7 linked regions of the Sus scrofa genome follow. The protein of the gene in region 3 interacts with the protein of the main gene of each other region in a biochemical or structural test. Links are inferred from orthologs where the notes say so. Each region holds a gene or a part of one and is shown on either strand. Other genes may lie near its edges. The genes, in order: SMC1A, ABL1, ATM, RBBP8, CHEK1, EIF4EBP1 and CHEK2.

Region 1 (3,500 bases), on a different chromosome or scaffold from region 3:
GCTCTCAGGGTACTATAATAACTTTCTATTATTCCTATTATTTTACTATCATTGTTATCAGTAACACAGTAAGTGAAGTATACTTGCAAGGGGGGGCTTTATTTTTTTGTGGGTTTTTCCTTTTTTTTTCCCCTCAGGGCTGCACCCGCGGCATATGGAAGTTCCCAGGCTAGGGGTCGAATTGGAGCTGTAGCCACCGGCCTACGCCATAGCCACAGCCACTCGGGATCTAAGCAATCTCATGGTTCCTAGTCGGATTCGTTTCTACAGCGCCACAACAGGAACTCCCAAAAAGTGTGAGCTTTAGAGCTAGACTGCCCAGGTTCATATCCCAGTTCTGTCACTTAATAACAACGTGGCCTTAGGTAAATTACTTCACCTCTATAAAAATGAGGAATGAGTGAATACATGTAAAAAACAGTGCCTGGCACACAGTAAGTGCTTGCTAGATGTTAGCTACTGTCATTACTGTTAAGACCATCATTATCTCCTTTGCTCTGGACCATCATCCCCAATCTTTTAAGGCATGCCCACCTCTGTCTCTACTTTCTTCCGCTCTTCCAGATCCAGCCGGTCCTGATCAGCCTTCTGGTCTCGATTGAACTTCTCCAGCTCCTGGGCCAGGGTAGCTGCTCTCTTGCTGGCTTCTTCTTTCAACCGGTGATATTTCTTCACCTGTGTGAGGGACAAAGAAGGAGGACGGGGATGACCATGTCAGCCCATCGATCTCTCCAGTCCCCCCAACCCCCAAGAGCTTACCTGATTTTCCTCCAGGGTCAAATCTCTGCCCTGACTCTGACTCTCCTCTTCCATCCGTTCCTCAAACTCCTGCCGAGCTTTCTCCACTGACAGCATCTCCTTTTCCAGCTCATCCATATCACCTTTACGTTTCTTGTAATGCTTTTGAGCATTCTGTAGGGACTTCTTGGCTGCTTCTAGCTTCTTGATTTTGTGAGAGGTATTCTCCTTGGCTTTGATGTACTGAGGCCGCTTCTGGTTCAGCTCTGAGTCCTTCTCCCTTTTGCCAGGGTTGGGGGAAACACCAGTTAGCACTGTGAGAGAAGGGAGGGGTCCCAGGCTTTTTAATCCAAAGGAAGCCTAAACCCCAAGCCAGCCTTAGGGAATTACCAAAAGAACAAGGGCCTGATGCCCCACAGATCCTCAAAGAAAGGGCTATTCCCTGGAACTGATGGTGTTAGCCTGGGATTCTAGCCATTTAAAAGGCAAAGCTACCCCCCTGCCTCAACCCTAGCCAGGCCAGGCCCCTTGGTAACAACTCCCAAGAACACCCTGTGTTCACCTCATTGTCTTCCATCTGATCTAAGCTTTTCTTTTTTGTTTTTGGCCAAACCCATAGCATATGGAAGTTCCTGGGCCAGGGACTGAATCTGAGACGCAGCTGAAATCTACATCACAGCTGCAGCAATGCCGGATCCTTTAACCCATTGTGCCGGGCCAGGGATCAAACCCATGCCTCCACAGCAACCCAAGCCACTGCAGTTGGACTAGTAACCCACTGTACTACAGTGGGAACTCCTGATCTAACATTTTGAAATTCCTGTCCTTTAAACTTCAAGTTTCGGTTTCCCTCTTCTAGGAAGGGACTGCCAGTCAGGAGTCTGAGTATTTAAATACTCTGTCTGCAAGTCAAAAAATGTGCTTGATTCTGGCAAAGCAAGTCAAGGGGAAGATAGAGAAACGAGTAGAGGCACTGGGCTCTGGGTTCACAGAAGCCCTAGGAAACAGCAGAGCCTCTTGGCTTCACACAAGTTACAGGCCAAGGCCTGCCACTTACTTGATCTCCTTCTCAATCTGCTGCTGCTCCCGCATCATTTTGCCCAGCTCCTTCTTCTTCTCCTTCAGCTCATCTTCTACCTTGTCCATCCGCTTCTTATCCTTCTCAATCTCCTTGTTCTTAGAGGCCAGTTCCTTGTTGAGCTTCTCGATTTCCACTTCATTATGATAAAGTTTGAAAAGTTGCAACTGTACCTGAGCTCGTACCACCTCATCCTTCAGGCGCTGGTAGCGGTCAGCCTGTGCAAATAGAGGCATGGAGGCAGGGGTGCATCAGTAAGGCACCGGCTTCACTCTGGCCTCTCAGAGCCCATAGGCAGCCTGGCCACCTACCTCTTCTTTTTCCTGTTTAGCCTCCTTGCGTTCAGCTGCAATATTTTTTTTTCGATGGTAGTTAAACTGCGTGTCCTCTTCAGCTTTTACCATCTCCTTCTTTCGCTTGTCATATTCCTGGGCCAGCTCCCCAGAGCGACTGATCTCTTCGAAAAGAGCTGTCCTCTCTTTGGGGTTCTTCATGGCAATAGATTCCACAGCACCCTAGTAAAGGTCAAAACACTCTCCCCATTTAGACTCCAGCCAGTCCAGTTCCCCCTACCCACTCCCATTCAATCATTCAGAAAAAGTTCACTGATCACTTCCCACATTAGGTGCCACATTTCACCACTGAACTTTGAGGACACACTCCCTGCCTTTTGAGGCAGACAGGGTACAGAAGAGCCAGAAGCAGAGACAACTCCGTGTGTTATGTGCAATAACAGCAGTAGCACAGAAAAAGGGCTAAATGAAGCTTGAGGATAAGAGACTGGTAGGGGTATCTCTATGTCTCCACGGGAAGGCTTCCCAAAGGTGACATCTAGGCTGAGTTTGGAAGATGGGGAAGACATTAACCAAGAAAATAAGAGAAATGAGGTTATTTAAAATAGAGGAAAATTAATATTGCAAAGGCCTACAGCCAAAGAAAGCAAGTTTGGGGAACTACAAAGGGTTTAATCAGGCTGGAGTGCAGGGCTAGAGGGGAAGAGTACTGGCAGATGAGGTTAATGAGATGAGCAAGAACCAAAGAGTGGTATTTCATGAATGACAGGGGTTGGATCTCATGCTATAGCAATGGTTCTCAAACTTTACTGTGCATCTTAATAACCTGGAGGGCTTGGGAAAACACAAATTGCTGGGCCCCACTCCATAGTCTCTGCTCCTATAGGTCAGGAGTGGCTTCCCATCACTTCCTCTTGCTTGGCAAAGCCACCACTTCTTTTAAGCTCTCCCTCTTCTGAGTTCCTACCTACCCTAATCCGATCTATTCTCAGGCACCTACCTATTCTGGTAGATGCCCGAGAACAGGGATTTCTAACGTGAGAATGTGGATTTCTAATATGTCCCCAGTTGATGCTGATGTGGAGACTTGAATTTGAGAAGTGCCATCAAAAGGCAATGAGAAATCACTGAAATGTTTTAAAGAGAGGAGCGAAAGAAACATATTTTTGCCCTCATAAAACAAACCAGAAGGGGGCAGGTGGAGTCGGGAAGCCCAGTGAAGAAGCTGTTAACATTAGTTCAGAGGAGGGACCATGATGCAGGCCCAGTGGGGCTAGGACAGAAAGCAGATAGCCAATAACTGTTAAAAATGCCCACCTGGAGTTCCCGCTGTGGCTCAGCAGTAATGAATCTGACTAGCATCCGTGAGGATGCACTTTCGATCCCTGGCC
Region 2 (3,500 bases), on a different chromosome or scaffold from region 3:
GGGCGTGGCTTCTGACGTCTGCGGCGCGGTTTCCTGCTTTCCAGTGCACGGTGGTTAAAGCTCCCACATCTTGAGCTGTCTTGCTCTTGCTCTTTGTCTTTTAGCGTTTGGAGTCTTGCTTTGGGAAATTGCCACCTACGGCATGTCACCTTACCCAGGAATTGACCTGTCCCAGGTGTATGAGCTGCTAGAGAAAGACTACCGCATGGAGCGCCCGGAAGGCTGCCCGGAGAAGGTCTACGAACTCATGCGAGCATGTGAGCCTCCCTTTGGGAAGGGAAGCGTGGGACTTCCCCAGGTCGGGGGGCGTTGAGGAGACCCGGGCAGGGCGAGGCCAAAGCGCTCGCTTGCTTCCTCTCCTTCCCTCCTTCAGAAACAACTCGTGTGACAGTTTGGCGCATAGCATTGTACCTTTTCCAGTGTGTCTGTGCACCTTTAGTTTTACATAGTATTTATATGTGAGGGTCTTTTGTTTGTTCTTAATGCAAAAGTGACGTGGATGGATACCAAACCTGGGTTTCTTATTAATAAATATAAATTGCTGGTATAGTAGGTAAATATTCCAGGTGATTTTCATCCACTCGGTTTTGGTGGTGGTTTAATTTATTTTAGGGCCTCAAGTGAGGCCCACGGAAATTCCCAGGTTAGGGGTCAAGTCAGAGCTACAGCTGCCAGCCTGCACCTCAGCCACACAATGCCAGATCCGAGCTGCATCTACAACCTATACCACAGCTCACAGCAGTGCCGGCTCCTTAACCCACTGAGCGGGGTCAGGGATTGAACCCATATCCTCATGGATACCAGTCAGGTTCATTTCCACTGAGCCACAATGTGAACTCCTGTCCACTCAGTTTTTAATTTATTAATATGTATATATATGTGTGTATGTATATATAAAAATTCATTCCTTCAACTTTTTTTTTTTTTGGTCTTTTTAGGGCCACACCTCTGGCACATGGAGGTTCCCAAGCTGGGGGTTTGAATCTGAGCTGTAGCTTCCGGCCTACACCACAGCCACAGCAACATGGGATCCTAGCCGTGTCTGCGACCTACACCACAGCTCATGGCAATGCCAGATCCTTAACCCACTGAGCGGGGTCAGGGATTGAACCCATATCCTCATGGATACCAGTCGGGTTCATTTCCATGGAGCCACAATGGGGACTCCTGTCCACTCGGCTTTTGATGTATTTATGTGTACGTATATGTGTGTATGTATGATAAAAACTCACTTCTTCAGCCTTTTTGCACTTGGCAGTGTAGCGGGCGTCTCTTTCCACGCCCATGATTTCCCGTGCTCTTCCCCTTCTCCTTCACCCACTCTTATCTTCACGTAGCTGCCCAGCACCTATTGCGTAATTTATTCATTCATCCCATCCTCCTTTGATGGACATGTGTTTGCTGTATACATTTGTTTGTTTTTTGCTCTTACGGACAAGGCAGGAACCAGTTCCCTCGTAGATACGTATGCCTCTGCGCATTCTGGTGTCTTGCAGAAGTTGAACCTGTAGTTCAGGGGGCTCTGTGCATTTTAAAATGTTGATAGGTGTTACCAAATTGTTTTGTAAAAAAGGTTATATTAGTTTATACTCCCAACAGAAGTCTGTAAGGGGGACGCTACAGCCTCGCCTACACTGGGCTGCGTCGGTCCTTAATCTCCTTTTCGTCTTGTTTTAAGGAGCATGTCTTTACTGATGAGGAATTCAGACTTTGGTGACTGCGAGGAAAGGTTAGGACAGGAAGCAAGCTATTTGGTTTAGTGATTCTCTGCACTTGCTAGAGGCGGGTTGGGAAAAACATCTTTGTAAATGTACTTGTTGCTGTCCTGTGTTATAATCCGCATTCCCGCCCGTACCCAACGTCGTCTCAGATTCCCGGGGTCTGTAATAGGACTCAGTGGCAGTCGTCACTTTAACTTGTCACAGCACAAGATGGCCAGCGGGACCGGAATGCTTCTTCAGTTTCTCGACTTTGCCTTGAGGATTGCTAGTCTTCCTCTTGTTCGCAAAGCCTCACGGGTGGTCCGGCTTGGGTCTCATCTGTCTAGGTTGGCAGTGGAATCCCTCTGACCGGCCCTCCTTTGCGGAAATCCACCAAGCCTTTGAAACAATGTTCCAGGAATCCAGCATATCAGATGGTAATGTGCCCGTCCTTGGGGTGCCTGCAGTGGGGGGAGAGGGTGGGGTGGGAGGGAGGGCCGGGCGGGACTCCAGCCCGGTCCTTCAGTCCCTCCTGGTCGAGAGCACGGGCCAGCGGTCAAGCTGCTGAGTGTGGCCCTCTGTCTTTGGCAGCCAGGACTCTGAAGTCTGCTCCGGTGCTGCTTTTTCGGGATGTGTGTCTCTTCTCTGTAACTGTGTATAGATGACTACTGCTGTCTTAAAAAGAAAAGGAAAACCAGCATACCAAAAGGACATCAATACTGATGACTCCTGGTTTTGTTATTGATTTTTCGGTGGTTCTTAGAAGTGGAAAAGGAGCTGGGGAAGAAAGGCATGCGAGGGGCCGCGAGCCCTCTGCTGCAGGCCCCGGAACTGCCCACCAAGACCAGGACCGCCAGGAGAGCCGCCGAACACAAAGACGCCCCAGACGTGCCCGAGACGCCCCACTCCAAGGGCCCGGGAGAGACGGGTATGTCCCCACCCCCGCCAGAGCCCAGGGCAGCTGGCCCCGGAGCCGGGTGCCGGTGCAGGCAGATGGGAAGCAGGGAGCGGAACCTGCACAGAAGGGCAAGTGGACCCCACGTTAGTGGCCCAGCTTCAAAAAGAGGAAGATCCTTCTTCTCCCACAGTAAAGCGCTCCCTCTGCAAATCATTCAGGAGCCACTGGCTGTGGCTGTTAGTCTAGTCACACAGGCAGAGGTGCTTATGAAACATACTAAGAGCGAACACACCCTTTCATGTGTTAGTCACAGCATTGGTGGCTGCTCTTTCAGAGCAGATGCAGCAATAATAAATACTGAACCAAACAAAGAGCAGCTTGTTGCGAAAGCAGCAAAGCGAGAAGCTCCCTGGAACTGACAGAGCCAGGAGACACCTGTGGCAGAGCTGGTGTCCTCTCGTCTGAGAGGAGGCTCCTTCTGGGGCTGCTCCCTAGACCCACGGCGAGGGCGTGGGAGCCGTTCGGGAGGGTCCTAGGATGTTACCAGGAACAGCATTCGAAAGTGTGGGTCCGATGCTTCCTTTGCGCCAGGCGTGACGCTGGGTTAGGCCGCTCCGATTCAGCCCCGACAGGAAAGGAAATTGGGAGGTCTGGGTTCCCGTCAGGCCAATGAATGGACACGCCCGAGGTGGACCAGGCGCCTGGGTGGGTAGCAGCTCCTTGGGGATGCTCTGACGGACCACACCCGGGGGAAGGGGAAGGGACAGGGCAGGGCTGTGGGGTGTCTAGCCACAGCAGAGTCTGTAGACCCCCATGATGCCCAGCTTTGTCATCATGTACCTCTGTTAATGTTTTAAAGTTGAGGGAATTGGGAGTTCCCGTCGTGGCGCAGTGGTTAACGA
Region 3 (3,983 bases):
TATATAAACAAGAGATGTTCATTAACTGATACACACAACGACTTTTACTGGGAAACTACGGTGTTCCAAGTACTGTGTTAGAGGTAGCTAGACATATAATGAACTAAATAGACACAAACCCTACTCTCCTGGAGTTATAATTAGTGGGAGAGAGTGACAATAAAAAGTGCACTTATAAATCAATGCCTAATGCCAAATTGTGATATATGTCTCATAGGAAGAAAATATATAATATCAATGGATAGCAAAGTTCCCACTGTGACTTAGTGGTAATGAACCCAACCAGTATCCATGAGGATGTGGGTTCGATCTCTGGCATTGATCAGTGGGTTAATAATTCAGCATTGCCATGAACTGTGGAGTGGGTCACAGACACGACTTGGATGCCCCATTGCTGTGGCTGTGGTGTAGGCCAGCAGCTGCAGCTCTGATTCAACCCCTAGTCTGGGAACTTCCATATGCCACAGATGAGGCCCTGAAAAGACAAATGAAATAAAATACCAATGTAGAGGATCATTTTTTATAACCTATTAAGGAACACATATTACAGGGGGTTAAAAGATCTGAATAAACTGGTGCCAGGCACAGAAAGAGCGAGAGAACCAACATCTTAGAGGAGAAACACAGCCAGCGAGCTCTAAAATGGAAAACTGCAATGTTGGAGGAAATGAAAGACAACTAAAGGAACAAGACAGTAGTTAGCTAGAGTAAGACAGTAGTTAGCTAGAGTAAGAGTATCATCAGGTAAAATTGAATTCAATTAATACATTAATCCAATTAATACATCTAGGCTCCACTTCCAAGATGCAAGTGGTATAACACATATTTCCTAAGTAACACCCTCTGAATTGGCAAATCCATTGTTCCTTTTCAGATCTCAACCAAAATGATCCCTTTGCAGAATTTGACAATGATGCTTATACCATATCTTTCTGGATCTAATTCTGCCCTTAGCACGCCATCTTTTTTTGGGGAGCCGTGCCTGTGGCATGTGGAAGTTCCCAGGCCAGAGATCAAACCTAAGCCACAGTGGCAATACAGCCACTGCAGTGACAATGCCAGATCCTTAACCCGCTGCAGCACAAAAGACCACCATGCCATTTTTTTCTAATGCTAAGAGTGTGGGCTTTGTAGTCAGACTGCACTAGTTCATACCCTGGTCCTGCACTTACAAACTATGTAACTTGGGCAGTTAGCTAATCTCTCTCTCTTTTTTTTTTTTTTTTGTCTTTTTAGGGCCACATCCACGGCATATGGAGGTTCCCAGGCTAGGGGTCTAATAGGAGCTATTGCTGCCAGCCTAGGCCAGAGCCACAGCAATGCAGGATCCAAGCTGCATCTGCAACCTACACCACAGCCCACAGCAATGCTGGATCCTTAACTCACTGAGCAAGGCCAGGGATCAAATCCACAACTCCATGGTTCCTAGCCTGATTCATTTCCGCTGTGCCACGACAGGAACTCCAACTAGCTAATCTCTCTAAACCTCAGTTTTCTCAATGATAAAATGAAAAACCACATTAGAATTGAACTAGAACTTCAAAGTTACTTTAAAGATTGATGTACATGTTTAACACACTGCCTGGGACATAGCAAATGCTCAATAAATATCAGCAATTATCATTATTCCCTTCTTTTCTGTTTCGCATCTCTTTTAATGGTTCTTTTTCCACCCACACCTGAAAGAATATCCTTGTCTCCTTGCTTCTCAATTTTCTCCCAGTTAAGACCATATCCCAGTAAGAGCATATGTTCAACATGTTGAAAATGCCCAAATGTACTTCATTACATGCAGGACCTCTCTCTTCTCCTTTTTTTCCATTTTTTAAAGTTTTATGGAAGGACAGTTGATTCACATGTTGTGGTAACTTCTGCTGTACTGCAAAGTGATTCAGTTATACATGTACACACATCCATTCTCTTTCCATTTCTTTTCCAACATAGATTACCACAGAATATCGGGTAATGTTCTCTGTGAGGCTCTCCCTAGAGCTTCAGGAACCTTCCACACGTTATGCCTTCATATGCATTTACCCTTCTGTCTGTAAGGCTCCCACCTCCCTCCAGGGCAGTTTAACACTGAAATCTCACTGCAAACTGAAACTGATTCTCCCAGGCCGTTTCCACAGAACTTCATTCACTCCTCTTCCATCACAATGTTCTTCTATCACATTATCACTCTGAATTGTAACAGTCTTTTTACTTCTCTGTACCTGGTAAAAAACAGCAAACACTCTTGAGTGGTGACACAGGATAGGATGATGACGAGATAGATGGTACAGCGAGATCACACAGCCAGCTGACAGAACCCCAACTCCGGGAGTGTGATTCCAGAGCCCAAGCTCTTAACCACGAAACTTCAGTTTAAGCCTCAACGAATCACTCGTTGACTTAAACTACTAATTATGACAGGGGAGAAAAAGATGATTAGTTAAGCCATCTAGTTAATTTCTGGGCACAGAGGCAGGGGACGCACAGGAAGGTTCAAGGCTAAGTCCACCAGAGGCACGAAAAGAGAGCTGGAGAAAGCAATGAGTACCAGAGTCCCGTCAAGATGAGGTGGGGAGAGGAGTAAAGGGGCGCATATGGGGGCTGGGACAGAGCGGCCCGGAGGCATCTTAATTCCCCAACGCAGACGCCACTACACGGCTTACGCACCAAGACGGCTGGACTGGACAACCAAGTGGAATCCCTGGTGGCGGCGTAGCCGCAGACCAAATCCCCGCTCCACTCCCAGCAGCAGCCCGAGCCACCTGTCCACGCACTGATCCCGCTTCCGACCAAACTCAGCGTGGCCACGCAGCGTGCGTCCCGGGCGGAAGCGGTAGAGGTGCGGAGCGTTCGGGTACGGTCCGCCCACGCGCGCCGGACACCAAACACTCTCCCAAAACACCGGGCTCGGAAGGGAACGCGCCTGCGCACTGTCTGCCAATGGCATGCGACCCTGCAGCCACGCTCTCCCTGCGGCTTGGTCTCCAACGCTCGCGCCCCGCCTCCTCGCCCCCTTGACCCCACCCGCCAAACGTGAGCACGGAAATGACGTCAGTGCCAGGGAGAACGGAGGCGGGTTTCATTTCGGCGCCTTTCTTTCTCCCGCGGAAGCGATTGGCTGGCGTGGAGCAAAAGAGGCGGGACAAATTGCAGCGGGGTTCAGTGCCGCCACCGGGACCGGGAGATGCGGCGCAGGAGCCGTCGCTGTTGGCTTTTACCTGAGTCTCGTCTCTCACTGCGGGTACTCCTGCGGCTTGGATCATGCTGCTACCCTCGGACGTAGCCCGGCTGGTATTGGGTAAGCGTTGACGCGGTAGAGAGGGAGACCGGACCGGGCTGAGCTGGACGGAAGGACCCTCGGGGCCAAAGGTTTCCCCAGGGAGGGAAGCTCTGGGGCTTTGCCTCCCCGTCTCCGAGTTCAGGCTGGCGGTGGTTCTTCAGCCGGGGGCTCGGGCGGTTCGGGCTTTGTGTGTGGACACTCCTCTCCTTCGAGGTTGCGTGATGAGGAGAGGCTGAAGGAAGCCCGGAGTGGAACACCTGAAGCCGGGATTGGAGGGAAAGTCAGGCCTACACTTAATTAGGACCCTGCCGGGAAGCTGCTACGTGATGCACCGACGGCTTCACCTTGGCACACTGCACTTTGTCAGAATTGGGACCAAAGTAGGAAAGAGAGGGACTTCCCCCAGCCCCCTCCCCCCAGCTTTGTAGAAAGACATTCCTGACGCCCTTCTCGTAACTCGCCCTTAGAACTGCGAATTTGGGACGAATGGGTGATCTTCCTTCCTTATCCCGTCCCTCCGCAAGAAGTCGTCCAGTGTAGAGGTTTGAAACGCTAATTGCATACTTTCTGACGGCAGCAGCTCGGGTTCTTTTAATTAACAAGAATTTTCACAGGGGAAATGCCTTCCATTTGAACATTTCTAGTCCTAGTTAGTTTTTCCTCATTTTGAAAACAGTTTAGTTCCACGGCCAGTTGTCAGGGTACATTGTAT
Region 4 (3,500 bases), on a different chromosome or scaffold from region 3:
AGTTATTAAAAGTCATTTTGATAGGATAAAAAAATTACTTTCTGAAATTTGAACGATAAACCAAGATAATGCATACACAATCCCACTGGAGTGCTTATAAACAATATGATTCCAATGAAATTATTTGAAGAGGTTAAGTCTTTTATCTTTAGGATATTGTATTTGTCACAAAACTGGCACCCAACCTACAGAGAATCATGGAGAAAAAGTTTAATGTTTAGACTTGGGTATATACAGTATTAATTTTTTTTTTTTCAAAATGTTATAATCTCTTACCTCTTTCCATACAAGTCTGAGTGGAAGGAAAACCAACTTCCCAGAAATTCTCTGGTGTGCTGGGTGGAATGTAGCGAAATCGGTGTCTTGAGCAAGAAGCCAACTTCTTTTCTCTCTCTTCTGCTGGGAAATCTGCATAATACTGATAATAAAACTGGTAAGATTGCCACTCAGTAATAATGAATGCAGTGTCACTGATTATAAACTAGAAACTAAGAAAACTATTAAAGTATTCAGCATGCTAATATGGAAACTGAATTCTCACTGATAATGTTAGTAATTAATACTATCTGTAATTACTATTTGGAAATTACTGACAATAATTGGTGTGGGTCTGTGAAATGTTTGCTCCACATATGAGAAGGGAGCTTGTATCACCATGTAAACCAGGATACTGCTTCCTTTATCAATAAAATCTCACAATGAAAAAAAAAAAAGCTGGGAGTTCCTGTCATGGCTCAGTGGTTAACGAATCTGACTAGGAACCATGACGTTTCGGGTTCGATCCCTGGCCTTGCTTAGTGGGTTAAGGATCCGGCGTTGCTGTGAGCTGTGGTGTAGGTTGCAGACAAGGCTCGGATCCTGCATTGCTGTGGCTCTGGCGAAGGCGATTCAACCCCTAGCCTGGGAGCCTCCATATGCTGTGGGAGCGGCCCAAGTAATGGCAAAAAGACAAACAAAAAAAGGCCAAAAAAAAAAAAAAAGCCAGTTGAACTTTACAGTGTGCTTAGTGGTACAACTGATTTATATACTGGTGCAAACTCTCTATCTTTCTCATTCCAGCAACAAAAATGCTGAGGCCTGCACTCTGAATAGCATGTTTCTCAAATGTTATTTGGATATAACATGTGTTTTGAAGTAATTTTCCTATCACTATAATCATTTAAAATAAAAGTTTAGCCTTGAATGTTGTCGGCTTCATGACTTCCCCTTTAAACTATATTTTTCAACCACGATCAAAGGCATATTATTTTTTGCAACTGTGATCATAACTGAATTTCATGCAAAGAGAAAACTTCTATGTGAAAATTATACAGGTCTTTAAGCAAGCTCTAGATCTAAAGAAAACAAAGCAGTACAGTTTAATAGAACAGATGACAGGATCGCATAATCCCGCTAATTCCATTTTACACTTGAGAAACTGAAAATCAAAGTGATAAATTTACCAAAGTTATCACCTAGTGAAAGTGGTAGACTCAGGACTAGAATTTTTTTAAAGTAAAGTTTTTCAAAATATTTCTTTTAGTGGGTTAAGGATCCGGCATTGCCATGAGCTGTGGAGTAGGTTGCAGATGCGGCTTGGATCCCGTGTTGCTGTGGCTCTGGTGTAGGCTGCGGCTACAGCTCCCATTAGACCCCTAGGCTGGGAACCTCCATATGCTGAGGGAGCAGCCCAAGAAATGGCAAAAAAAAAAAGAAAGAAAAATTTCTTTTATGTAGGTTAAAGGTTTTAGAGTAATATCTCTAAAACTTTGTTTTTCCTGGTATCTTTTTCTTCATTCCCACTGCCATGAATATTAGCATTTGTCACCTTAGCCTGGGAACTGGGATTGGATGCCTTTAGAGAACCATGGTTACCAATCAATATTGGAGAAACAGTGCCACCAAATTACAACATATTTGAAAAGAACATTAAATGTAGCTGTAACACAGCAATCAAATGGGAGAGTACTGAAGATAAAGTTAGAGAGGAAGTGGAGTGTGAGCTTATTGTCCTTCATAAGGACTTTGACTCCATTTCTTACTAAGAAAGGAAGCCATTTAAGGATTTTGGACAGAAGAATGACATGATTTAACTTTTCTTCCAAAAAGATCATTTGGAAAAAGAGACTATTATTGTGTTGAAAGTACAATCAATGGAGTTCCTGTTGTGGCTCAGTGGTTAACAAATCTGACTAGGAACCATGAGGTTGCGGGTTCCATCCCTGGCCTTGCTCAGTGAGTTAAGGATCCGGCATTGCCGTGAACTGTGGTGTAGGTTGCAGACTCAGCTCAGATCCCGCGTTGCTGTGGCTGTGGTGTAGGCTGGCAGCTACAGCTCCAATTCAACCCCTAGCCTGGGAACCTCTATATGCCGCAGGAGCAGTCCAAGAAATGGCAAAAAGACAAAAAAGACCAAAAAAAAAAAAAAAAAGTAAGTACAATCAATGGGATTTGCTGACCGATATGTTTTTAACATAAAAAAAAAAAAAAAAGAGGACAACTACAAAATCTCTGGTTTAAACAACTAGAAGAATGGATATAGAAGGCTCAGAGGAAAGGTTCGAGAATTGGAGGTAGAAACTTTGCTTTTAGACATGTGAAATTTGAGATGACTATTACACATCCACATGTACTGCATATTCTACATGTGGACTAGGCAATGGAAAAATTTTAGGGTAAGCATATAGGCAATATTTAAATTTAGATACATGGGGCTGGCACTTTCACTCCTAGTCATGAGGGAGTTACAGGGAACAGATTTACCCTCTACCTTAAAAAACCAAAAAAAAAAAAAAAAAAGAAATAAAATGTATGAAATAGTGTTTTTAGAGATTGGGTAACAGCGCAAAAATGATTCCTGAGAGAAGGAAAGCAAATTAAGTCTCTAAAAAAAGCAAAAGAGCTTTTTTTTTTCTAATTGTACCAATTTCAGTTATAATTAAAATCTGGAAGTTTACTTAGAACAGACCATATTCCTTAGTTAAGAAATCATGATACATTTGATTTGTGTTACAAAAACTCATGATTCAGATTTTGCTTGTTATACCAAACTGCTTTTCAAAATACTGATCTCAAGTTACACTCCCACTCTTAAGAGAATGAGAGCCTATTTCTCACCAAATGCTTACCTGCTCTGTAATCTATTCTCACCTAACTTCAATGTGCTTTGTTATCAAATTTTCTGGCCATAGTTAATGAAAAAATTAAAAGGGGGAAGTACACTGATAGAAACAGGCATCCAACAGCTAAAGGACAGCAAGGGAAGAAATAAAAACAACATGTTTCAAGAAAACACAGAACCTGCCTGGACTATTTAGGACAATCAGAATATCCTTAAGTGGATACAGTCTAGAACACCCAATGTAAACTAATATCTGTGTAAACTAATATCTGTGTTCTAAGGATGAAGTAGAGCCTATTCATATTTTGTTTGGAAAGGAAAATTTGGGGGAAAAAAGAGCTTATGGTTGTACCAGTTGTTTAGAAAAAAACAATTATGAGTATTATCTCATTTCCTGAAT
Region 5 (3,977 bases), about 16 Mb from region 3:
TGAGAAAATAGCAGTTCTAGGCCACATCACATATGCACATGCTCTATTCATTTAATTTGTTTTCCTTCTAGCTTTACTGAGATATGGTTGACATAAAGCAATGAAATGACTATCACAATAAGTTTAGTGAACATCCATCAACTCATATAGACACAAAATGGAAGAAATAGAAAAAAGGGAGTTCCCATCATGGCTTAGCAGGTTAAGGACCTGATGCAGTTTCCCTGAGAAGTGCGTTCCATCCTTGGTCTTGCTCAGTGGGTTAAGGATGTGGTCAAGCCACAAGCTGTTGAGTAGGTCACAAATGCCACTCAGATCTTGTATTGCTGTGGCCATGGTATATAGGCCAGCAGCTGCAGCTCTGATTCCACCCCTAGCCTGGGAACTTCCATATGCCACAGGTACAGCCTTAAAAAGAAAAAACAAACAAACATGAAATAGACAACTCTTTGTGTTAAGAACTCTTACTATCTCACCCTTTTAACTTTCATATGTAACATACACCCTGTCAATTACATTCATCATGTTGTACATTACATCCCCAGTACCTATTTATAATTAGAAGTTTGTACCTTTTGACTGTCTTCAATTTCCCCTCCCCCACCCCACTCTGGTAACCACAAATCTGATCTATTTTTCTATGTGTGTTTGTTTTTAAAGTATAACTGATCTACACTATGTTTGTTCCTGTTACAACATAGTGATTCAGTATTTCTATACATTTCAAAATGATCTCCATGGTAAGTCTAATTAGGCTTACAAAAGTATTATATAGTTATTGATTATATTGCCCACACTGTGCAATTCATCCTGGAGACATTTATTTTGCAACTGGAAGTTTGTATCTCACGTATTTCTTTCCCAGCCCCCCTTCCCCTCTGGCAACTACCTGTTTGTTCTCCGAAACTGTTTCTCTTTTATGTTTGTTCATTTGTTTTGTTTTTAAGTTCCATATATTAGGTGAAATCATACAATATTTGTTTTTCTCTGTCTGACTTATTTAAAGTTAGCATAATACCCTTTAGGTCCATTCATGTTGTAACTTAATGGCAAGATTTCATTTTTGCTCTATTCATTTAATTTTAATATATTATCTAGCATTTATCAATCCCATTCTATATATATCTGCGGTAATCGCTGTAAATACCTACTGGATATGTACTACTATTGCCACATTATAGCTGAGGAAACAGAGGCAAACAAGGACATTAAGAAGCTTGCCTAGGAGTTCCCGTTGTGGCTCAGTGGTTAACAAATCCGACTAGGAACCATGACGTTTCGAGTTCAATCCCTGGCCTTGCTCAGTGGGTTAAGGATCCTGTGTTGCTGTGGCTGTGGTGTAGGCAGGCAGCTACAGCTCCGATTAGACCCCTAGCCTGGGAACTTCCATACACTGCAGGTGCAGCCCTGGAAAAAGACAAAAAAAAAAAAAAAAAAAAAGCTTGCCTAAGAACACAAAACAATGGTGAGCATGTGACAAAGTGAGGATTGGAAACCAGGCAGTCTGACTCAAGTCTGTTCATTTGCTCATTTAACCACCAGCTTAAACACCAGGAAGGAATGGTGGCAGGAAACTGATTTCAGAAATCTCTTTTGGCTCTTTGGGCAAAAAATGCTTTTTAAAAATAAGGAAGAAAAATAATTAATCCTTACAGAAGATTGTGTAGCTTCAGTTCCCCAAAGTTTTGGGTTTCAAATGCAAAGATCTGTTCTCTAAGGTGCCACTGTGTTAGAATAAACATATTCCAAAAAACCTAACATGTACTCAAAGGAGACAACAACCGACAGGAAACTAAAGCGAGTGTGAAGGCAGGGTTTAAGGACTCAAACTCACTCTCCATAGGCACCTTCTCCCAGGGTTTGCACCAAGTCCCAGTCTTCCACAAAGGGCACTGCCATGTCTCCACTAAGTCCCACGGCTGTAAAAGGCAGGAACCCAGAAAAGACGGCATATGAGGATAAACTTCAATCATCTCTTAAGCCACTGAGCTCCGCCTCTTGCCATGATTCTTCAAGATAAATCACAGCTCCTGGTTTCCCCTAACATCTCATCCATATTTTTATCCAAGCCGTTAAAGCACAAGCAAGTATTATGAACTCTGGCATTTCGTTGGTAACTCACAATCCCCATTCCCACACAAACCCAAGGCTGAAACCCCGCATTCCAGGCGGCAGAGGAGATGTGCTATCCGCATTGGGAAGTGGGAGGACCAGTGCTTTACCGTGGGGGACCAGGAAAAGGGGTGAAAGGTGAGAACTTGGGTCAGAGTCAGGGATGCTGACTAGTGAAGGAAATAACTGCCACGACCGCAGCCCCTCCTCCCCATCGGCTCACTCCCAATTCCTACCCACACCCCGTCCCCAAGGCCAGGAGGAGCCCGGGGCGGGGCCAAACTGCCCCAAGAGGCGGAAGGAAGGGCTGGGTGGCTCGCGTGCGGCCGGGGCCCAAAACTCTGGGGCACCCAGCCAGCAGAGGAGTCGTCTCTCCAGTCCTTGTACAACGAGGACCTCCTGGCATCACACTCCTCCACCCTCCGATACCGCCCTCCGCGGGAGTCTCTCTGATCCCCCGGGCTCGGCGCCGAGAACGTTCTCTCGCGGTGCCCCTCCTAAGTCTTATAGACCCCGAACTCCTGCTCCAGGGGCCTTTCCCACTCTACCGGCCGCCCCTCCTCACCAGGCCGTCCTTTGCCCGCCACCACAGGAATCCAAATGCAGGACTTTTCCCGCCAAAACTTGCTAGCGTCACATTGTCGCAAATGCGCGCTCCCTTGCCGTAAAGCAGGAAGCGCGCGTTCTGGGGCTCTCGGGCTCTGCAGATTGGCCGCGCCTCGGGTCCGCGCCGCTCTTCGCTGCGTTCTCAGGCCCGCCAGCCAATATTACCTTAAGATCGGAGGAGATCCTGGCTGAAGAGGTTTAAGAACTGCCGACCTCATCAGTGCGAACGACCTCTGGGCACAAACGCTAAGTGGGACCAGGCGTGTATCCTCGGCTGGCTGGCCTCGCGTTCCAAGGGATTGAAGCACCGCAGGGCTCGCTGCCCGCCGCCCCCGACCTCCTGGCACCCCAACCCTTGCCTGGCAAGGTGTTGAGGGTCACACTCAGTAAGGGTTGCCTCTTACTTGAAGGTGTGGGCCAGGTAAAACCGGAGCTGAGAAGCTAGTAACAGCTGTTGAGAACTGATCTTGTGAAGAAGGAAAGTAACTTTTGTGTTGGGAGAGAGAAGCATCAAAGAATGGCTGCAAGGGGTGGGAAGGCGTCAGGATGAATAAAGCTGCTCTTGTATTTTTGAGGTAATGTCAGGATAACCAGTTTTCCCATCTTATCTAAGCTGCCTCCAAAACAATACCTCAACCCAACCTTTTTGAAGGAAGTGCAACTGCATAGCCTAGTACTACCCGCTCTCTCATTAATGTGTAAGAAACTGGCAGGTACAAGCAAAAAGGCTGCGCATTTTACAATGCAAAGTTTAAAAGCAGAGTATCCTGTTTAGGTGGGAAAGTCAATTCTGAGAAAAGGACTGGCTGGAGTACAAAATCATGTAGAAAAACTGAAATAGTTACTCCCCCTTGACAGTAAATTAGACTAGGAACTCAAGGCACAGGGCAGATCATCTCCATTAAGTTCTCCAATTCTCAAAACTGGGCCACATGCATGCATTGAACATAAATAGCTATTGATTGTGATACTGGCAATAGACTAAAGTAAGTGTAAAATATATTATACAAAAATGCAAACATTTGATTTAAAGAAGCAAAGTCAGGGACAGAAAAACAAGACCAGGACACTTCAAAATGCTCATCACAGTTTAGGCTTTTGTTAAAGTAAGTTTTCCACATCATTTTTTTCAGTTTTGGCACTGTGTGCTGCAGACAAAGAATATGAAGAAAGGAAGAGGAGGACCTGCACAGCTTCTTTGTATCTTGATAGAATTAAGGTATCTTAGCCTGAAAATAAGGTATACACTTTTCAGGCAG
Region 6 (3,873 bases), on a different chromosome or scaffold from region 3:
ACAAATCCAACTAGGAACCATGAGGTTGTAGATTCGATCCCTGGCCTTGCTCAGTGGGTTAAGGATCTGGCGTTGCCATGAGCTATTGTGTGGGTCGAATACGCAGCTCGGATCCCATGTTGCTGTGACTCTGGCGTAGGCCGGTGGCTACAGCTCCGATTAGACCCCTAGCCTGGGAACCTCCGTATGCTGTGGGAGTGGCCCAATAAAATGGCAAAAAGACAAAAAACAAAACAAAACAACAACAGAAATGTGTGGTCTCAGTTCTGGAGGCTGGAAGTCCGAGATCAAGGGGTTGGCAGGGTGGTTCCTTCTGAGGCTGTGAGGAAGAATTTGATCCAGCCTACTCCTCTCCCAACCCCCTGAGCTTCTGATGGTTTGCTTGCAATCCTTGATGTTCCTTAACCCTTGGCTTTTGTAGGAAAACCTGCCACCTGTGCTGCAGCCATACCTCAAAGAAGTAGGAAAAAGAGCAGGTGGGGACTTCGAGATGCTTAACAGTATTCCCACCCCCTTCCAGGTACCAGGATCATCTATGACCGGAAGTTCCTAATGGAGTGTCGGAACTCACCTGTGACCAAAACGCCCCCGAGGGACCTGCCCACCATTCCCGGGGTCACCAGCCCTGTGGGTGATGAGCCCCCCACAGATGCCAGCCAGAACCACCTGCGCAGTAGCCCAGACGACAAGCCGGCGGGGGCGGGCGGTGAGTGCAGGACTTGGCCAGGCTCTCCCTTGGGAAGGAACATGTGTGGTCCCATCCGCTGGGGGGAGTTCAGGGAAAACACTGGCGATCACCCCACCCTCCATGGAGCAGCCCAGAGCCCAGAGGATGGAGGTAGGGATGGAGCATAGAGTTTTCATCCCAACCAGCTTTCCCCATGAAAATGGCCCAGGAACCCAGGAAAGGCCATCATCTGGCAACTCACTAGTGGGGAGCTTGTTTGAAACAAGAGGGGACCACACAGCCACTTTGCTAACCTTTATATAGTTGTCCCTGAAGCATTTCCAGGCGACTGCAACACTTGGAACATACCCACGATGTTCCTGTGCTGGAGGTGACCTATCAAAGGCCCAGTGTCCTCGCCCTCTAGGAAATTACATGTCTGTATCAGAAAGGCTTCTAGGATGCCTTCTGCTAGGGTGTTGTCTGTAGTAGATTCTTGATGAACAGAGGAGAAACAGTGCAACCGGTTTCTTTTGTTTTTTTGTTTTTCCTTTCCTTTTTAGGGCCACACCCACAGCATATGGAAGTTCCCAGGCTAGGGGTTGAATCGGAGCTGTGGCCACTGGCCTGCGCCACAGCCACAGCAACATGGGATCTGAGCCGCATCTGCGACCTATACCACAGCTCACAGCAACGCTGGATCCTTAACCCACTGAGCGAGGCCAGAGCTCAAACCCGAATCCTCCTGGATACTAGTCAATTCTTAACCTGAGCAGCCACAAGGGGAATTCCGCAACCAGTTGTTTCTGCAGGTTTGACACAGTAGCTGGGTCCTTCCTGGTGTTTGTTCTCTCCATCCCCCACCTCCATCCTCCCAAGTCATCAGAGCAGCCACCCTGGCAGAGGTGAACGCAGTCTGTGGCATTGGGACTGGCTGGCCCCGGGCATCTAAGTGCTCCTGCTGCAGGAGGATGCAGCATAAGCACTTGCAGACAACCTGAGTCAGCGGGCAGCCTGCTGACCCTTTATCTGGAAGGCAGTGCACCAAGCCCAGACAGGAAGCAGCTGGGACCTCAGGCTGGGCTGGCCCTGCTGAGAGCAGCAGAAGCCATCTCCCCAGGGCCTGCAGGACATGATTCATATTTACCTTGGGAACCCTACCACCCAAGACAGGCTGGTTGCCTCACCCTCAGACAAGGAGAGCAGGGGGTGGAAGGGCGTGGACTCAGACACACAGGGAGCATGAGGAGGGCAACTGAAGACTGGAAGTTGAGGATGGAGGTTGTCAACACCTGACATTGCTGCATCACTCTCACCTGGTCCGTTGCCCCCACTTGTACTCCCTCTTCCCTCCCAGTTTCTAGAGCTGTTCTGTCCCACAACAAATGGAGGGTGGCCCAGCAGTGCCCCCAGGTGGACCACTCTGACCCCACAATCATGGCCTAGTGTTCCCCACAGTTGCTGGGTTGGGGTTTAGTGGAGGGGGGTGCCAGCATGATTTTCTCTTTTGCTTAACTGGATATAAGAAGCCAAGGGACCAAGAATTCCTGTTGTGGCTCAGGTTAAGAACCCAGCATAGTGTCCGTGAACTGCCCTAAAATGTGATGTGGATACATCATTGCCATGACTGTGATATTGGCTGGCAGTTGCAGCTCAGATTGGACCCCTTGCCTAGGAACTTCCCTATGCCGCAGGTGCAGCCCTAAAAAAAAAGAAAAGAAAAGCAACCCCCTGCAGCATGAATTACTTGGAAATGGTAATGGTGAGAGTTGGGTGAGGGCAGTGAGTGGCTAAATTACCCAAATAACTGCCATACCACAGGGTCAGGCTGGGTCAGGCTGTTCCACACACAGTGGGATATATGCCTGGTAGGTTAGGGTACTGTTTTCTAAACAAGAAGTTGGGACATGTGCTCAAAAGGGTTTTATGTTTAAGGAATATTTGTCTGTGAAGTTGTATATATTTCAAATCACAAGGAACCATTCACACTTATTAAAAATGATACATTTAGAGTTCCCTGGTGGCTCAGTGGGTTAAGGATCTGGCATTGTCACTGCTGTGGCTTGGGTTACTACTGTGGCACAGGTTTGATCCCTGGCCCAGGAACTTCCGCATGCCATGGACACAGCCAATGATAATAATAGTAGTAGTAATAATAATAATGCCTATATGGAATTCAGGGCTGTCACCTCTCCTGCTGGGAGATGTGGTCTTTGCTCTGCCTTTAAGACTTGAGGAAGGGAGCACAGCTGGACATGTATTTCCAGGAATTCCTGGTCCCACCCTTCCTCTGTTCTTGGCAGCCCAAACCTGGCCCCTGCTCTGCTGGTAGGGACAGAAGAATGGGAAGTAGTGCCTTTTCCTGGCCTCTAGAATGTCAGCCCTGCCCAATTCCTTTTGCTCACCTGACCCTCTGTTCCTTCTCTCCCCAGGTGAAGAGTCACAGTTTGAGATGGACATTTAAAGGACCAGCCATGGGATCGAGCAATGCCTCTGGGCCCCAGTGGCCCCTTTTGGGAGAAGGATCCCACCAGCCAGGCCTTATGAAAGTTGCCATCCTGGGCAGGCGTTGGGCGTGGGGTCGGCTGCCCCAGCCCCCTGCTTCCTCACTCAGGGCACCTGCTCCCCCTTCTTCATGAACACCAGCAGATACCTCCATGTGCCTCCACTCCTGCAGGTGCTGTCACCCCAAGAGGAGTGACCTCAGGCACACCCTGCAGCCCAGGGCCAGCTCGTGGACTCGGAGGAGCCCTTCTGAATGGTCCTCTAGCTCTTCCAGCATCCTCCTGGGGGGGGGTGTGCCCACCCCTTCCTTAGGTTGGTGTATGGAAATGCTCCCATCCCTCTCTCTTCCCAAGAAAGGAAATAAAAGCCACCTTTGCCCTAGGGCCAAGAATTGGCCCCTGTCTGAGCTCTTTTCATTCCATATGGATGGCTAACGCCAATGTCACATGCATAGTGCCCATCATGCACTTTCTATGCCTTATCTCATTTGACAGTGGCACGGATCCCATGGGGGTAAGTAGAGCAAGTGTTATCGTCACTGTACGGCTCAGAGAAGTTGGCGTCACACACGGGTTGATGACAGGTGGGGCTGGCCTGGAGCTGTGCTACTCTCCATCTCCTGTTTTTCAGTGATGGGTGATACCTCTATTCTGGGCTGTGTCTCCCCCCCACCCCCAGGTGTGCCCAGTGACTGAGTCACC
Region 7 (3,500 bases), on a different chromosome or scaffold from region 3:
ATGAAGAGAGTGAAATACAACCCATAAAATGAAAGAAAATATTTGCAAATGAGTTATCTGGTTAGGATCTAGTATCCAGAATAGATAGAACTCACCAACAAGAAGATTAACAACCTAATTTAAAAATGGACAAAGGATTTAAATAGAGGTTTCTCCAAAGAAATACAAATGACCAAAAACCATGTAAGATGCTCAGTGTCATTAGTCATTAGGGGAGTGCAGATCAAAACCACAGTGAGATGCCATTTCACACCCACTAGGGTGGCTGTAATAAAAAAAAAAACAGAAAATGGCAAGTGTTTGTGAGGATGCAGAAACATTGGAAACCTCATACCCTGCTGTTGTGAATGTAAAATGGTACAGCCACTGTGGGAAATAGTTTGATGTTTTCTCAAAAAGTTAAACAGAATTACCATATGACCCAGCAGTTCCCCTTTAGGTATATACCCCCAAAATTGGAAACAGATGTTCAACAAAAGCTTGTGCATGAATATTCACTACAGCTCTTTTCACAGTAGTGAAAAGGTGGAAACAACCTAAGTGTCCATCTACCAAAGAATGGATAAACAAAATGTGATATATACATAAAATTGGCTGTTATCTAGCTATAAAAAGGAATGAAATGCTGGTACGTGCTGCAGCATGGATGAACCCTCAAAACATTCTAAGTGAAAGTAGTCAGGAGTTCCCTGGTGGCTCAGGTTCCTGGTGTGGCAATCTGGGGTGACTTAAATCTGTATCACTCAGCTCAAATAAGTCTGTACCACTCAGCCCAAAAAAGTAGAATTTCGAGCTGACTCAGTGTTGGATGGTCCCCATTCACTTATTCCCTTGATATTTTATCTTGGTGAGGTTCTACTATGTTCTTTGAAAATAGTGGAAGGGTTGTATATGGACTGTGTTTTCGTTTGTTTGTTTTTGTCTTTCTGTCTTTCTTAGGGCCGCATTGGTGGCATATGGAGGTTCCCAGACTAGGGGTCCAATCAGAGATGTAGCTGCCGGACTACGTGAGAGCCACAGCAACACGGGATCTGAGCCTCATCTGCGACCTACACCACCTCATGGCAACACCAGATCCTTAATGCACCGAGTGAGGCCAGGGATCAAACCTGTGTCCTCATGGATGCTAGTCGGGTTTGTTAACCACTGAGCCAAGACAGGAACTCCTGGACTGTGTTTTAATTTAAGATAATTGAGGCCAATTCAGGAGCGGTGTGTCTCAGGATTAAAAGCATTCTAATAATCAGTCACTTTCTGCCTTTTTCCCTGTAGCGGTGCCTGTGGTGAGGTGAAACTAGCTTTTGAGAGGAAAACTTGTAAGAAAGTAGCCATAAAGATCATCAGCAAAAGGAAGTTTGCTATTGGCTCTGAGAGAGAGGCAGTAAGTACCTGTGTTTGTGGCTGTTGGGTTGGTCTTAATGCTTCTTAACTTCCCCAAATAATTTCAGACTGGTGATTTTCAGTGTTAGGAATTTGTATCGAAGAATGTTGGACATTTTTTTTTTGCTTTTTGTTTTTGTTTTTTTTGTCTTTTTAGGGTTGCACCCCGGCATATGGACCTTCCCAGGCTAGGGGTCTAATCGGAGCTACAGCTGTTGGCCAACACCACAACCACAGCAACTCCAGGTCTGAGCCATGTCTGCAACCTACACCACAGCTCATGGCAATGCCAGATCCTTAACCCACTGAGCGAGGCCAAAGATCGAACCAGCAACCTCATGGTTCCTAGTCAGATTCGTTTCTGCTGTGCCATGATGGGAACTCCCTGTCTTTTTTTTTTTTTCAGGGCCGCTCCCACAGCACAAGGAGGTTCCCAGGTTAGGGGTCGAACCATAGCTGCCAGCCTACACCACTGCCACAGCAACGCCAGATCTGAGCTGATCTTCCACTCACACGCAGTTCATGGCAATGTCAGATCCTTAACCCACTGAGCGAGGCCAGGGATCAAACCTGTGTCCTCATGGGTGCTTGTCAGATTTAATTCCCCTGAGCCATGGTGGGAACTCCCAGAACACTGAACATTTTTGAGTGTATCCAACTAATCTAAACACAGATAATTGGGTTCCAAAAATACTTGGTTGTACAGAATAATATACATAGCAGGAACTTGTTTTTGTTTTTTTTTTCCTTCCAAGTTGTTACAAGACTATTTTTACAATAAATGAAAGGAAATTAGGGGAAAAAAATCCAGCTATGTCCCTGCCACTGTAACCCCACAGCTGTTTTCAGTTTTCCCTTTCTTTCTAGTCTTTGTTCATATGAATTCATGTTTCTAGATGGTTGAGATCATGTTATACATACAATTTTGAATTTTGCTTTTCCACATAAGCACTAATGCATAAACTTTCCTCATATCTTTTTTGATGATTGGGTCTCTATTTCACCAACTTTTTCATAATTTATTCAACCATTTCTCTGGCTGATGATTTAGATCATTTAGATAATTTTGAATTCTTTGCTTTTCTTGGTAACATGACAATATATACCTGTGTGTTTATAGATTTTTTAAAAATCATGAATTATTTTAATGCTTTCTTTATATGGTAACCATTTTATTACATTTTCTTTTTTCTTTTTTTTTTTTTTGTCTTTGCCTTTTCTAGGGCCGCTCCCGCGGCACATGGAGATTCCCAGGCTAGGGGGCTAATCGGAGCTGTAGCTTACACCACACCCACAGCCACAGCAACTTGGGATCCGAGCCGTGTCTGCAACCTACACCACAGCTCATGGCAACGCCGGATCCTTAACCCACTGAGCAAGGCCGGGGATCGAACCCACAACCTCATGGTTCCTAGTCGGATTCATTAACCACTGAGCCATGACAGGAACTCCTATTACATTTTCTTTAATACACACTGTGTTGGTGAAATGGCCACTGTATTGGTATTTCAATACATGAACCAACGAAGTAATACAAAATGTGGCCTCTAATCACGTTTTCCATGGCCAGCTGTTTCTGGCTATTATACTTTAACATTCTTTAAAGATCAATTTTTTTTTTTTTCCCTAGACAATGCCATTCTTATATAGCAAGAGGAATTTCCTTTTGGTGTTCACTTCATTATAGATCTTTCCCCTGTGATTCTGAATTTGTTTCCCATGGGGGAGGGGGTGGTGGGAACTAACCTACCAAATACTTAATGACTTGGAACACAACTTTATTTCTTAATTTCATCTTTCAAATCCTATCGGACTCCTTAGACCTCTTTATCATCAGAGTACACCCTGACTTGGTAATGAGTTTAACGGCTTACAGGAAGAGGCAGGCTTTTAAAATTAAACATCTGGGTTTCTTCACTGAAGTCCATTTAACATAAATATGTAACTCTATATCCTCTTTGCTTGTGGAGGGTGTAGCCTGTGAGGTTGAGTAACTTGATTCATCCTTTTGGAATTGTAATGGAGAGCAACTTTGCTACCCTAAGCTTCCTCTCATTGAAAGTCTCAGTAAATATCCCAGCTTGCAGTTGAAATTGGAACCTGGGTTTGCTCTATTATTA

What was found.
Region 1: the proteins of ATM (region 3) and SMC1A form a complex in vitro, tested with the Homo sapiens proteins (2 studies listed by BioGRID and IntAct, with this or other methods). The link is inferred for Sus scrofa from reciprocal best matches to the Homo sapiens genes ATM and SMC1A.
Region 2: of the proteins of ATM (region 3) and ABL1, one has a biochemical effect on the other in vitro, tested with the Homo sapiens proteins (3 studies listed by BioGRID and IntAct, with this or other methods). The link is inferred for Sus scrofa from reciprocal best matches to the Homo sapiens genes ATM and ABL1.
Region 4: of the proteins of ATM (region 3) and RBBP8, one has a biochemical effect on the other in vitro, tested with the Homo sapiens proteins (4 studies listed by BioGRID, with this or other methods). The link is inferred for Sus scrofa from reciprocal best matches to the Homo sapiens genes ATM and RBBP8.
Region 5: of the proteins of ATM (region 3) and CHEK1, one has a biochemical effect on the other in vitro, tested with the Homo sapiens proteins (2 studies listed by BioGRID, with this or other methods). The link is inferred for Sus scrofa from reciprocal best matches to the Homo sapiens genes ATM and CHEK1.
Region 6: of the proteins of ATM (region 3) and EIF4EBP1, one has a biochemical effect on the other in vitro, tested with the Homo sapiens proteins (2 studies listed by BioGRID, with this or other methods). The link is inferred for Sus scrofa from reciprocal best matches to the Homo sapiens genes ATM and EIF4EBP1.
Region 7: of the proteins of ATM (region 3) and CHEK2, one has a biochemical effect on the other in vitro, tested with the Homo sapiens proteins (6 studies listed by BioGRID, with this or other methods). The link is inferred for Sus scrofa from reciprocal best matches to the Homo sapiens genes ATM and CHEK2.

The regions. Positions count from the first base shown.
Region 1 is NC_010461.5:46,192,149-46,195,648, forward strand, and holds part of SMC1A (structural maintenance of chromosomes protein 1A), read right to left. Parts: intron 2,332-3,500; coding exon 2,128-2,331; intron 2,035-2,127; coding exon 1,796-2,034; intron 1,019-1,795; coding exon 760-1,018; intron 676-759; coding exon 535-675; intron 1-534. UniProt on the Homo sapiens protein: Involved in chromosome cohesion during cell cycle and in DNA repair. Central component of cohesin complex. The cohesin complex is required for the cohesion of sister chromatids after DNA replication.
Region 2 is NC_010443.5:270,897,641-270,901,140, forward strand, and holds part of ABL1 (tyrosine-protein kinase ABL1), read left to right. Parts: intron 1-104; coding exon 105-257; intron 258-2,047; coding exon 2,048-2,137; intron 2,138-2,463; coding exon 2,464-2,628; intron 2,629-3,500. UniProt on the Homo sapiens protein: Non-receptor tyrosine-protein kinase that plays a role in many key processes linked to cell growth and survival such as cytoskeleton remodeling in response to extracellular stimuli, cell motility and adhesion, receptor endocytosis, autophagy, DNA damage response and apoptosis.
Region 3 is NC_010451.4:36,619,581-36,623,563, reverse strand, and holds the start of ATM (serine-protein kinase ATM), read right to left. Parts: upstream 2,801-3,983; 5' UTR 2,659-2,800; intron 2,400-2,658; 5' UTR 1,680-2,399; intron 1-1,679. Other genes in the region: protein NPAT, read left to right, coding at 3,253-3,289.
Region 4 is NC_010448.4:108,014,469-108,017,968, reverse strand, and holds part of RBBP8 (DNA endonuclease RBBP8), read right to left. Parts: intron 431-3,500; coding exon 277-430; intron 1-276. UniProt on the Homo sapiens protein: Endonuclease that cooperates with the MRE11-RAD50-NBN (MRN) complex in DNA-end resection, the first step of double-strand break (DSB) repair through the homologous recombination (HR) pathway.
Region 5 is NC_010451.4:52,758,047-52,762,023, reverse strand, and holds the start of CHEK1 (serine/threonine-protein kinase Chk1), read right to left. Parts: upstream 2,801-3,977; 5' UTR 2,678-2,800; intron 1,920-2,677; 5' UTR 1,900-1,919; coding exon 1,835-1,899; intron 1-1,834. UniProt on the Homo sapiens protein: Serine/threonine-protein kinase which is required for checkpoint-mediated cell cycle arrest and activation of DNA repair in response to the presence of DNA damage or unreplicated DNA.
Region 6 is NC_010457.5:48,422,501-48,426,373, reverse strand, and holds the end of EIF4EBP1 (eukaryotic translation initiation factor 4E-binding protein 1), read left to right. Parts: intron 1-520; coding exon 521-706; intron 707-3,099; coding exon 3,100-3,131; 3' UTR 3,132-3,373; downstream 3,374-3,873. UniProt on the Homo sapiens protein: Repressor of translation initiation that regulates EIF4E activity by preventing its assembly into the eIF4F complex: hypophosphorylated form competes with EIF4G1/EIF4G3 and strongly binds to EIF4E, leading to repress translation.
Region 7 is NC_010456.5:45,950,351-45,953,850, reverse strand, and holds part of CHEK2 (serine/threonine-protein kinase Chk2), read left to right. Parts: intron 1-1,272; coding exon 1,273-1,381; intron 1,382-3,500. UniProt on the Homo sapiens protein: Serine/threonine-protein kinase which is required for checkpoint-mediated cell cycle arrest, activation of DNA repair and apoptosis in response to the presence of DNA double-strand breaks.